Linked DNA regions of Arabidopsis thaliana. The protein of the gene in region 1 interacts with the protein of each later gene in a pairwise test. Each region holds a gene or a part of one and is shown in the gene's direction. Other genes may lie near its edges. The genes, in order: TOPP5 and AT3G15800.

Region 1 (5,022 bases):
AACTTGCAAAAACTAACCAATTGCATGCATGAAAGAGTTTATAATAAATCATGGAATTTTACATTGTCAACGTGTGAGGTTTTTCTTTTTGGACACAACCCAAAAGGCCTTTTAGTTCTAAATTGTTTCATATTAGAAAATTCTAAGTTCGGAAATGCTATACATGAAAATTCTTGGTGATTTCTAATGAGCAAAATAACATGAAAATTCTTGGTGATCCATTATATATATTTATGCGCCGAGAAACCATTCAGAGAAACAATAAGGAAGATAGTAAAACCTCATCTTTCTAATCGATAACTTCCATATCCTTCGATTAAAAGCTTTTGATCAATGCATAGTCCAAACTTTATACTCACATATACTCACATACCCATAATTTAGAATTTAGATCTCATTTAAATTGATAAGCTATTTTTGTAGTTATAAAATACATAAACCCATCCAAAATATTATCATTAAGACAAAATATTAGAATAGGTATATTAAAATAGAATAATGAGAGATAACATTTTTAAGAAATAAACAATAAAGAATCAATGCATAGTAAAAATGAATTTGTTATCTTGTAAATACAATATAATTTTATCGCCTGTTTTGAGCCTTCTTGCTTCTATATTATTCCACCCTGAGCACATAAAATATTTATCATGGTCTATTTTTATTGTTACCCAGTAACTCTTGTTATTCTCTAAAACTTCCACTTGAAGACCACTTGGAGGCATTACAAAATTTTCTATAGTGCGTAGTATCTTCTCTATCTGCAATTTTGGTTAATATAACCTACCCATGTGGGAAAGATCGGTGTTTGTAAGAACTTTCTCTAACATTTTATTTTGATCCATATCAAGCCAAATCACTATTTTACTAAACTCTTAACAAATTTAGAAATTTTAAAAAATGTTTGTAGAAAATAAAATGTTTGAAGACTGGAGCTCTACACATATGTTTATATATAGTTCTCGGCCAAACCAATGTGCTTTGTCTTCAAACCCTTTAACAAAAAAAAAATTGTGCTTTGTCTTCAACTTTTAAAAAAAAAATGAAAAAATTAATTTGTCCAAAAAAAAACTCTAAATGTAGTCAATTATATGGATATATATTCTAATTTTTGTAATATTAAATGAAAATATTTTCTAATATGTTATGTTTCTAAATTTTTACACTTGTTACCAACTTGAAGATTAAACTAATTATAGTTTTTTTCTAACATCAAATTAATTATTAAGCAAAAAATTTCTTATAACAATCTTACTTTTTTAGTCATTTTTATTTTAAATTTCTTCCAAAATTTAATAAAAATCGATTACATTCTTTAGAAAAATAAATTCAGTTAATACTATCAAATTGTATTATTTCAAAAACACTTAAAAATTGCACACTTGGCAGCTTATAGTTTTCGATTGATGTACTTTTTACAATAACTCTTTTTTAAAAAAAGTTTATAACATCAACAAGAAATTTAGTAATTAATGTTTAATGAGATTTTCTTTTATAGATTTTTTTCATTAAACTTTACAAGTCGACCATGGCATTGTCCCTATGGGATCCACTAATATTATAAAGAAAATCTATACAAATTAACCATGAATTCTATATAAACCTTTTTTTGTGAATATATTTATGAAGTTTGTGAATATTTAATATTTTTTTGTTTGACCTAATAATAACAGCAGAAATCGACGTCGATACGAAAATATATATATATATATATATATATATATATATATATATATATGAAAAAAATGAAAATGTGTCATTTATCTAAAACGAAAAAAAAGAAAAGAAGAGAAGCTTTTTTAGTTCTCTCTGCCCAATGGAGAAAAGAAGAACCAGAGATTGCCAAATCATCTTCTGCAAAAGCACCCATCAAAGAAATTACTTGTAAATAGAAAACAAATCATCAAATCTGGAAGACAAATCATTAAAAAAGGCGACAACTTTTTTTGGTTCAGATTTTGAAAATTTGATTTTTTATTTTTCTTATCTTGGCGATCGAATCCTATCCGAAAGATTGAAACTTGGGAGGTGGGTAAGTGAGTGAATGGCGCAACAAGGGCAGGGAAGCATGGACCCTGCTGTTCTCGACGACATCATTCGTCGTTTACTTGATTACCGAAACCCTAAAGCTGGGACCAAACAAGCTATGCTCAACGATTCTGAGATCCGACAGCTTTGCTTTGTCTCTAGAGAGATATTTCTTCAACAGCCTTGTCTTCTTGAGCTCGCTGCCCCTGTTAAGATCTGCGGTATTTTACTTCTCTCTCGATTTATCAGTTTTTTTCCTGTTTGGGATCTGAGATTCTTCAATTTTCATGATTGTGTAATGAAAAAAGTTTGCATTTTTCTGTGAGGAGATGAGCTTAGATCATTAAATTGGACCTCATGAGGTTGAATAATGTTAAGCTAAAGGAGCAATGTATCTTTTTACCAATTGATGTCACTTAATAATAGATGTCTTTGTTGGGCTTACCCTGTTCATGGAGTCTTGGAATTTGCGTAAGAGAATCTAGTTTAGTCATTAGAATGCTAATGGTAATAGAGCTTGTATGGTCACGTGATAGGAAGCAAGTTCTTCTTGATCTTTTCTTATGAAAATGCATTGGTTTCTCTGCTTGTATTCAAACACCATTAATTATGGTTCTTATGGGTTCATAGGTTGATGTGTAACATTTGTCTTTAGGCGATTGATAGTCTTGAAATCTTAGAGACTCGGTTTCTGGTTAATACCTAGGTTGATGTTGTAGCTTTTTGTCTTTGTATTGTTGCAGGTGATATTCATGGTCAATACTCAGATTTATTGAGGCTTTTCGAGTATGGAGGTTTCCCTCCTGCAGCAAACTACTTATTCTTAGGAGATTACGTTGACCGCGGAAAGCAGAGTTTGGAGACTATTTGTCTTCTGCTTGCTTACAAGATCAAATACCCTGAAAACTTTTTTCTCTTAAGAGGAAACCATGAGTGTGCATCTATTAACAGAATTTACGGATTCTATGACGAATGTAAACGAAGATTCAACGTGAAGCTCTGGAAAGTGTTTACCGATACTTTTAACTGTCTCCCTGTGGCTGCTGTCATAGATGAAAAGATACTTTGTATGCATGGTGGACTATCTCCTGAGTTGATCAATGTGGAACAAATTAAGAACATAGAGCGTCCAACTGATGTTCCAGACGCTGGTTTGCTCTGTGACCTTCTTTGGTCTGATCCTAGTAAAGATGTCAAAGGCTGGGGGATGAATGATCGTGGTGTCTCCTACACTTTTGGTGCTGACAAAGTTGCTGAGTTTTTAATAAAGAATGATATGGATTTAGTCTGTCGTGCCCACCAGGTTAGTACATTGTATAAATGTTTCCTCTAGTTTTTTTGTTTGGGAAATCGAATCTGCTGCTCAAGAACCTATAATGCTCCCACAGGTTGTAGAGGATGGGTATGAGTTCTTTGCTGATAGACAGCTTGTGACTATGTTTTCTGCTCCAAACTACTGTGGTGAATTTGACAATGCGGGTGCATTGATGAGTGTCGACGAAAGTTTAATGTGCTCTTTCCAAATTCTTAAGCCTGTGGATCGGAGGTCGCGGTTCTTTTGAAGAGAAAGAGGTACAGATTTGAGTGTTTCTCAAAAACCGTTGAACTTCCTCTTTGTTTCAGAATCTCAGCTAGCTATATCAGTTTCATCTGCAATATTATAGTTAAAGTTCATGCATCTCATAATAAGTCCATAACTAGCTTTCATCGAATCTCATGTTTCTTAAATTTTCGATTCTGATAGTTGCTCATTCGACTTACAGCGAGTCAAAGAGCTTTTAAAAGTTTGTTTCGCAGTTTCCATGTTTCATCTTTTTTGAGCTTTGAAAGCGTTGTTGCTCGTCTGAGCTCTTACAAGTTCACAAATTTGCTTTTGCAGTCCTTCTTAAGTTATAACCCTGATTCAAATCTTATGGGAAGAATGGGAGGAGAAAAAGCGACGACGGATGTTGGTGGCGGATAATTCTGAACCTCCACGAGTAGTCTCCGAAGTTGCAAAAGCAACAATATATATATTTACATGGTTATATCATCTCTGCCACTTCTTTTGAATATGATCTTGTTTCTTCAACTCAATTTTTTGCTCTGTTTCCTTCTCTGTTCTTTCACATGTCAGAGATACAAATCCTCTAAGTGTATATAATACTTTATATGTATGTATCAGAACCTCACTGCAGGATGCTTCAGTTCATGATTCTTATTAAAACAGAGGGTTCTCTAGACACTAATTAGCAGCAGATTTGTAATTGTGGCTGTGGTTTTCTCTAATTGACTCCACAATCATCGCATGTATACGACCACTCCTTAACATATATATTTACCTAAAAAGATAATACTATATTCTAATCACCCCACGCTGGCGATGCTTTTAAAGTTCAATTCATTACATACTCTATAGTCTATGTTATCGTTATTGAAATATTCAGATCACCATGCCCTACGAAATCAACACTTTAAATTAAAATGTTAATAATCAACGTATAAAATTTATTCTGACCGTTAATAAACTGTTAATAAAGTATCATAGAGAGCCATTCTCACTTTGAAAACGTTTTACTATGAGTATATGGTGTCGAATGGTTAGGCTATACTAACCAAAACAAATGGAAAGTATACACATAGTAATGCAATTGCAAATATATATTTTAGGCTATAATAAGCAAACGTTTTCAACCCAACTTTTGCTCTGCTTTGTTCTCATTCTCTGTTATTTCACATGTCAGAGTAGATACAAATCCTCTAGTGTATATATACTCTATGTGTATGTATCAGAATACTGCTGTCACTGTAGGACGTTTTTGTTCATGGATTCTTAGTAAAACCGAGGGTTCTCTAAACACTAGTTAGTAGCAGTTGTAGCTGTATTCTTTTTTAAAGGGCTTTGTTTTATCTGTCACATTGCAAACAATGACGATGAGACAACCCTAATGGAGAACCTGCTGGAGCACATTTGGTTGAAACCCTAAATCCTGGAAGAACACTTAAACTGGAGAA
Region 2 (4,880 bases), about 12 Mb from region 1:
TTTCTGGTAGTAAAAAAAGGTCTAAAACCATAGTGTTAAGCAAAAGAGAAAAAGAAGAGCAGAGCAAAATCCCTAAAATTTTAAACTCTGTTTTGCTTTCCGACAATCAAACCCTAGGTTGTCTGTTGCTTCATTCGTGTAAATTGTTAAATTTTTTGTTTTTGTTTTCTTGGCATTTTGTGGTTGATCTTTCTAATTTGTTTTCAGGGGTTGCTAAAGGGAAAGGAGAGAGATGGGTGGTGAAGAGGAAGTTGTTTCTGTTGAGCTACCAGCACCTTCTTCATGGAAGAAATTGGTTTGTTTTCTTTGTTTCATACAAAGACTTAGAATTTGTTGTATATGTGTAGTGCTGCAATTACCAAATCTTTTTCTTTGAAGACTCTGAATATGGTAGCTTTTGGTGGCGAAATGTTAGTATAAGTGTAAATAACTTTATGTTGATTAGGTGATTCAAAGGTTATAGACTTAGAAAAAGCCACATTTGATTGTGTTTGATCTACTATTTCTACTTCTTTGTTCTTGACTTAATGCCTCATTTTGACTATGTTTGATTTACTTCTTACTTTTCCCGATTCTTATGGATTTTAAGCCACTTGTAAACATTGTTTAAGCTACATTAAGGTCTTCTTTAGAATTTAATCTTTCAGCGTTTTGAACCTCAAATTTTCATATTTTCAGAGGTTTACATTAACTGACTTGTTTTTGCAGTTTTACCCCAACAAAGTGGGTTCAGTGAAGAAAACAGAGGTTGTGTTTGTGGCTCCAACGGGTGAGGAGATTAGTAACAGAAAGCAGCTGGAGCAGTATCTCAAATCGCACCCTGGAAACCCCGCGATCGCAGAGTTTGATTGGACGACTAGTGGGACACCTAGGAGATCTGCAAGAATCAGTGAGAAGACTAAGGCTACGCCGTCACCAGATAAAGAGCCACCCAAGAAGCGAGGTAGAACCAAATCTCCAGTGTCAAAGAAAGATGCAGAAGGTGAGAAATCAGAGGGAGGAGGAGAGGAAAACTCTCATGTGAAAGATACTGAAATGAATCCTCCAGAGGGAATCGCCGAGAATGAAAATGTGACCGATAAGAATGGCTCCGGTGAAACTGAGAGGGTGAATGATGCAAAAGAAAACATTGTTGCTGAGGAAACTCCAAATGCGGCTCCAGTTCAAGAAGAGGGTGAGTCGATGAAGGAGAAAGCTCTGGATTCTGTTGATGATAAGAGTAAGGAGACTGACAAAGAAAAAGATACTGGCTCAATCGAAAAGAACTCGGTAGATGTAGAGAAGAAGACCGTTGAAGCTAGTGATGAGAAGAAGAATTCTGAAGCTGAGACCAGAAACCATGAAGAAAATGGTCTGACCACAGAAGCTGAGGGGAAAGAGAAAACAGCAGAAGGAGAAGCTACCGGATAGCCCTGTTCTGCTCTGCTTCTGTTAGCTCATGAAACTGTAAGTCAGTTGTTTCTATCAATCTATTGAAGTATATGGTTTCCTTTTTGCTTCCTACTCGGAGCATTATCGCGGTGAAAGGTGTTGTTAGGCTGAGATATGTATTATGAGATATGTGCAAGTTCTGTTTGGTTGTAAGGTTATGTAGAGGATATATTATTGACTCTTCTCTAAAACCATTGCAATCACTAGGTTTGATGTTTTATCTTTCTGCTACAATCTTTAGTCATTTTCGTATGGATGGACAATCAAGTTATGAACAAGTCAGATTAAAGATCCACACATAGATTAATCTTCTAGATTTCTTTTTATCATTGGTTCAATCTTCATTTGAACGCCATAAAATGGGAAACCCAAATAAAAAAATGGAAGAAAGCAGAAGAAGACAAGAGGAAAAAGGTAAAAGTTTTGCTTTGAGAGTAAAGTAAGAATCTAATGCAAAGAAAGACTTACAATGTTAGTTTTCTTATTTCCTTGATTCCATCCTTTTGCATGGTCCCAGGGACGAGGGTTTAGAATCTTTCTATTAAGGAACAACTTCATAGTATAAACTCTTATTGTTCCCATTTTAGGATTAAAAAAAAAACTTGCTCTGTTTTCAAAAACATCATTCGAGACAGTATCTCAAATGGGTTATTGTGTTCCTCTTCGAAAGTCTCCAACTTCACATATGGTTTTCTCTTCTTTCTTCCTTTCGTTTCTCTTAGTCTTCTCTATACTCTCTTCACAAACGGCCGTAGCATTCATCGGAACATATGGTGTAAACTACGGTCGCATAGCGGATAATCTTCCGTCTCCTGACGCGGTAGCAACTCTCCTTAAATCAGCAAAGATTAGAAACACCCGTATCTACGATGCTGACCACTCTGTACTCACGGCGTTCCGCGGGACCGGGATTGAAATCATCGTTGGCTTAGGCAACGAGTTTCTCAAAGACATTAGTGTAGGAGAAGACCGAGCCATGAACTGGATTAAAGAAAACGTCGAGCCTTTCATACGAGGCGGTACTAAAATTAGCGGTATCGCGGTGGGTAACGAGATTTTAGGTGGCACCGATATCGGGCTTTGGGAAGCTCTCTTACCCGCAGCCAAGAACGTTTACTCCGCTCTTCGCCGTCTCGGTCTTCACAATGTCGTCGAGGTACATTACCTTAATCTTGCATACCAAACATGTCGCTAAAACCATGACATCTCGAATTTGCTTATTTTGTTTGGAAAAAGTTTTTTTAAAAGATTGCACGTTTAACCAACGTTAAATCTCATAAATACATTATTTTTTTCCGAGTAAAGTTGAGAATTTTCTTACAGACAAAATGATCAATCATTTTTTTGTAACCCAAAATGATTCAGTTTAAATATATAAATCTATTAACCTAGTAACAGAAGTTTGTATTAATGATATGACCATGTCGATCATAATCCAGCTAAGATACGTTAGTAGGCATGCATCAATTTGGATTTCTCTTTGAATTTTTTTCTTTTTAAATCATCTCTAATATTTTTAGGACATCAAACTTAGAACTTAAATGATGATTTAGCCTAAAACATTCAATATTTGTTTATAGGTGTCGAGTCCACATTCAGAGGCAGTGTTTGCGAACTCGTATCCACCGTCTTCGTGTACGTTCAGGGACGATGTGGCGCCGTTTATGAAGCCGTTGTTAGCGTTTTTTTGGCAAATTCAGTCGCCGTTCTACATTAACGCCTACCCTTTTCTTGCATATAAATCCGACCCGATTACAATTGACATCAATTACGCCCTTTTCGAGCACAACAAAGGCATCTTGGACCCTAAAACCAAGCTTCATTACGATAACATGTTCGACGCCATGGTCGATGCTTCTTATGCTGCTCTCGAAAAAGCTGGCTACACAAAAGTCCCGGTACGTCCGATCCTTATTACTATCAACCCTTTTTTTGTTTGGTTTCCATTAACATTTTCCCTTTGTTACAAGCTTTGCAAAGTACAAACGTAAATGTCAAACTAGACTAAAGACATTTTTTTGGGGTCAAAAACATGCATTATATGAGTTTCAACTGAATAATTTGACTCGTTATATGCATTTTTATTTTTCTATCAGTAACATGCATTTTTTATCTTTTGCTATCAGTACTACATGCACTAAGCTACATGTCTTGTCGTACGCGGATTTAAAAGCGTCATGCGAACCTGATTTAATCATTTAATTGTACCTAGGTGATTGTTTCGGAGACGGGATGGGCATCAAAAGGCGATGCAGACGAGCCTGGAGCGTCGGTAAAGAACGCGAGAACATATAATCGGAATCTTAGGAAGCGGCTGCAGAAGAGGAAAGGAACACCGTACAGACCAGACATGGTGGTGAGAGCTTACGTGTTTGCTCTTTTCAACGAGAACTCGAAACCAGGTCCCACTTCCGAGAGAAACTTTGGCCTTTTTAAACCCGATGGTACTATTGCCTACGATATTGGCTTAACCGGACTCAAGTCCTCTTCTGCCACACGGTATCGTTTTAAGTCGTCTCTTGTTTCCGCTTCTGCTTTCACGTGTCTTCTTCTTCTTTTTCACCGGTTGTTCCACTTGTGAGATTTGTGATTTTTTTAATTGGTCCTTTGATTATCAAGTTAACCCGTAATTCTTGATTTGCTTGTGATTAGTCACTTTTAACTTTAAAATGTTAATATACGAGCTCCTAATTACTTTGTGTAATGTCTTCTTGAAATGATATTGTTTAGTGAGGGTAAATGTTGGATTTTTCTACATTATTCTCTAAATATTTCATCCCAAGTCAAAAACAGTTAAAGAAAAAGTTTATTACATAAGCTGCATATGTGAGTTTTTGATGGGACTCAATCACATGAAAACATCACTAGCTACATAACTATTTAAATGTTGTGTACTCACATAAATTTTGATCAAGTATTTGTTCTAACTATAAAATTATTTTATTTGTTTTGTCCATTGTCTACTTGGTATATATAGCTATCAACCATGTATTTACGTGAGCATGAAAATTTTGATTACGTTAACGAATCAAATCTAGAGAGTGCATTAGTCAAGATATATCTTCTCTCTTTATTAGATGCCTATATAGTTTTCTTATAAATCTTATTCGACCACCTTCTATTTATGTATTAATATTCCTACGCACTCTCTGATCTTGTGTCAACTAACACTAATAAAATTATTCATGAGATTCAATTTCCACTTGGCAGTAAACATGTGTACGATACACGTTACATCTCTCCTATATATTAAAAAAGTTAGTACTTCGATAGAAACATTTTGCAACTAACACAATAAATAAAAATTTATCAATCGAACTTATAATTAATTAAATCTTTAACACATCTAATCTGGTCAACTGATAGATTTTGGATCGTCATAATTTTAAAAAATTTCTAACATGTATCGATAAATTTAGAACGCACAAATAATTTTGTAACATCAAACG

The links.
Region 2: the proteins of TOPP5 (region 1) and AT3G15800 interact in a protein complementation assay, tested with the Arabidopsis thaliana proteins (one large-scale study listed by BioGRID).

The regions. Positions count from the first base shown.
Region 1 is NC_003074.8:17,241,015-17,246,036, reverse strand, and holds TOPP5 (type one serine/threonine protein phosphatase 5), read left to right. Parts: upstream 1-1,755; 5' UTR 1,756-2,044; coding exon 2,045-2,249; intron 2,250-2,771; coding exon 2,772-3,331; intron 3,332-3,416; coding exon 3,417-3,590; 3' UTR 3,591-3,600; intron 3,601-3,907; 3' UTR 3,908-4,335; downstream 4,336-5,022. UniProt on the Arabidopsis thaliana protein: Serine/threonine-protein phosphatase that possesses phosphatase activity toward para-nitrophenyl phosphate (pNPP) in vitro.
Region 2 is NC_003074.8:5,342,977-5,347,856, forward strand, and holds AT3G15800 (Glycosyl hydrolase superfamily protein), read left to right. Parts: upstream 1-2,012; 5' UTR 2,013-2,074; coding exon 2,075-2,587; intron 2,588-3,011; coding exon 3,012-3,329; intron 3,330-3,643; coding exon 3,644-4,012; 3' UTR 4,013-4,171; downstream 4,172-4,880. Other genes in the region: MBD11 (methyl-CPG-binding domain 11), read left to right, coding at 233-295, 709-1,410.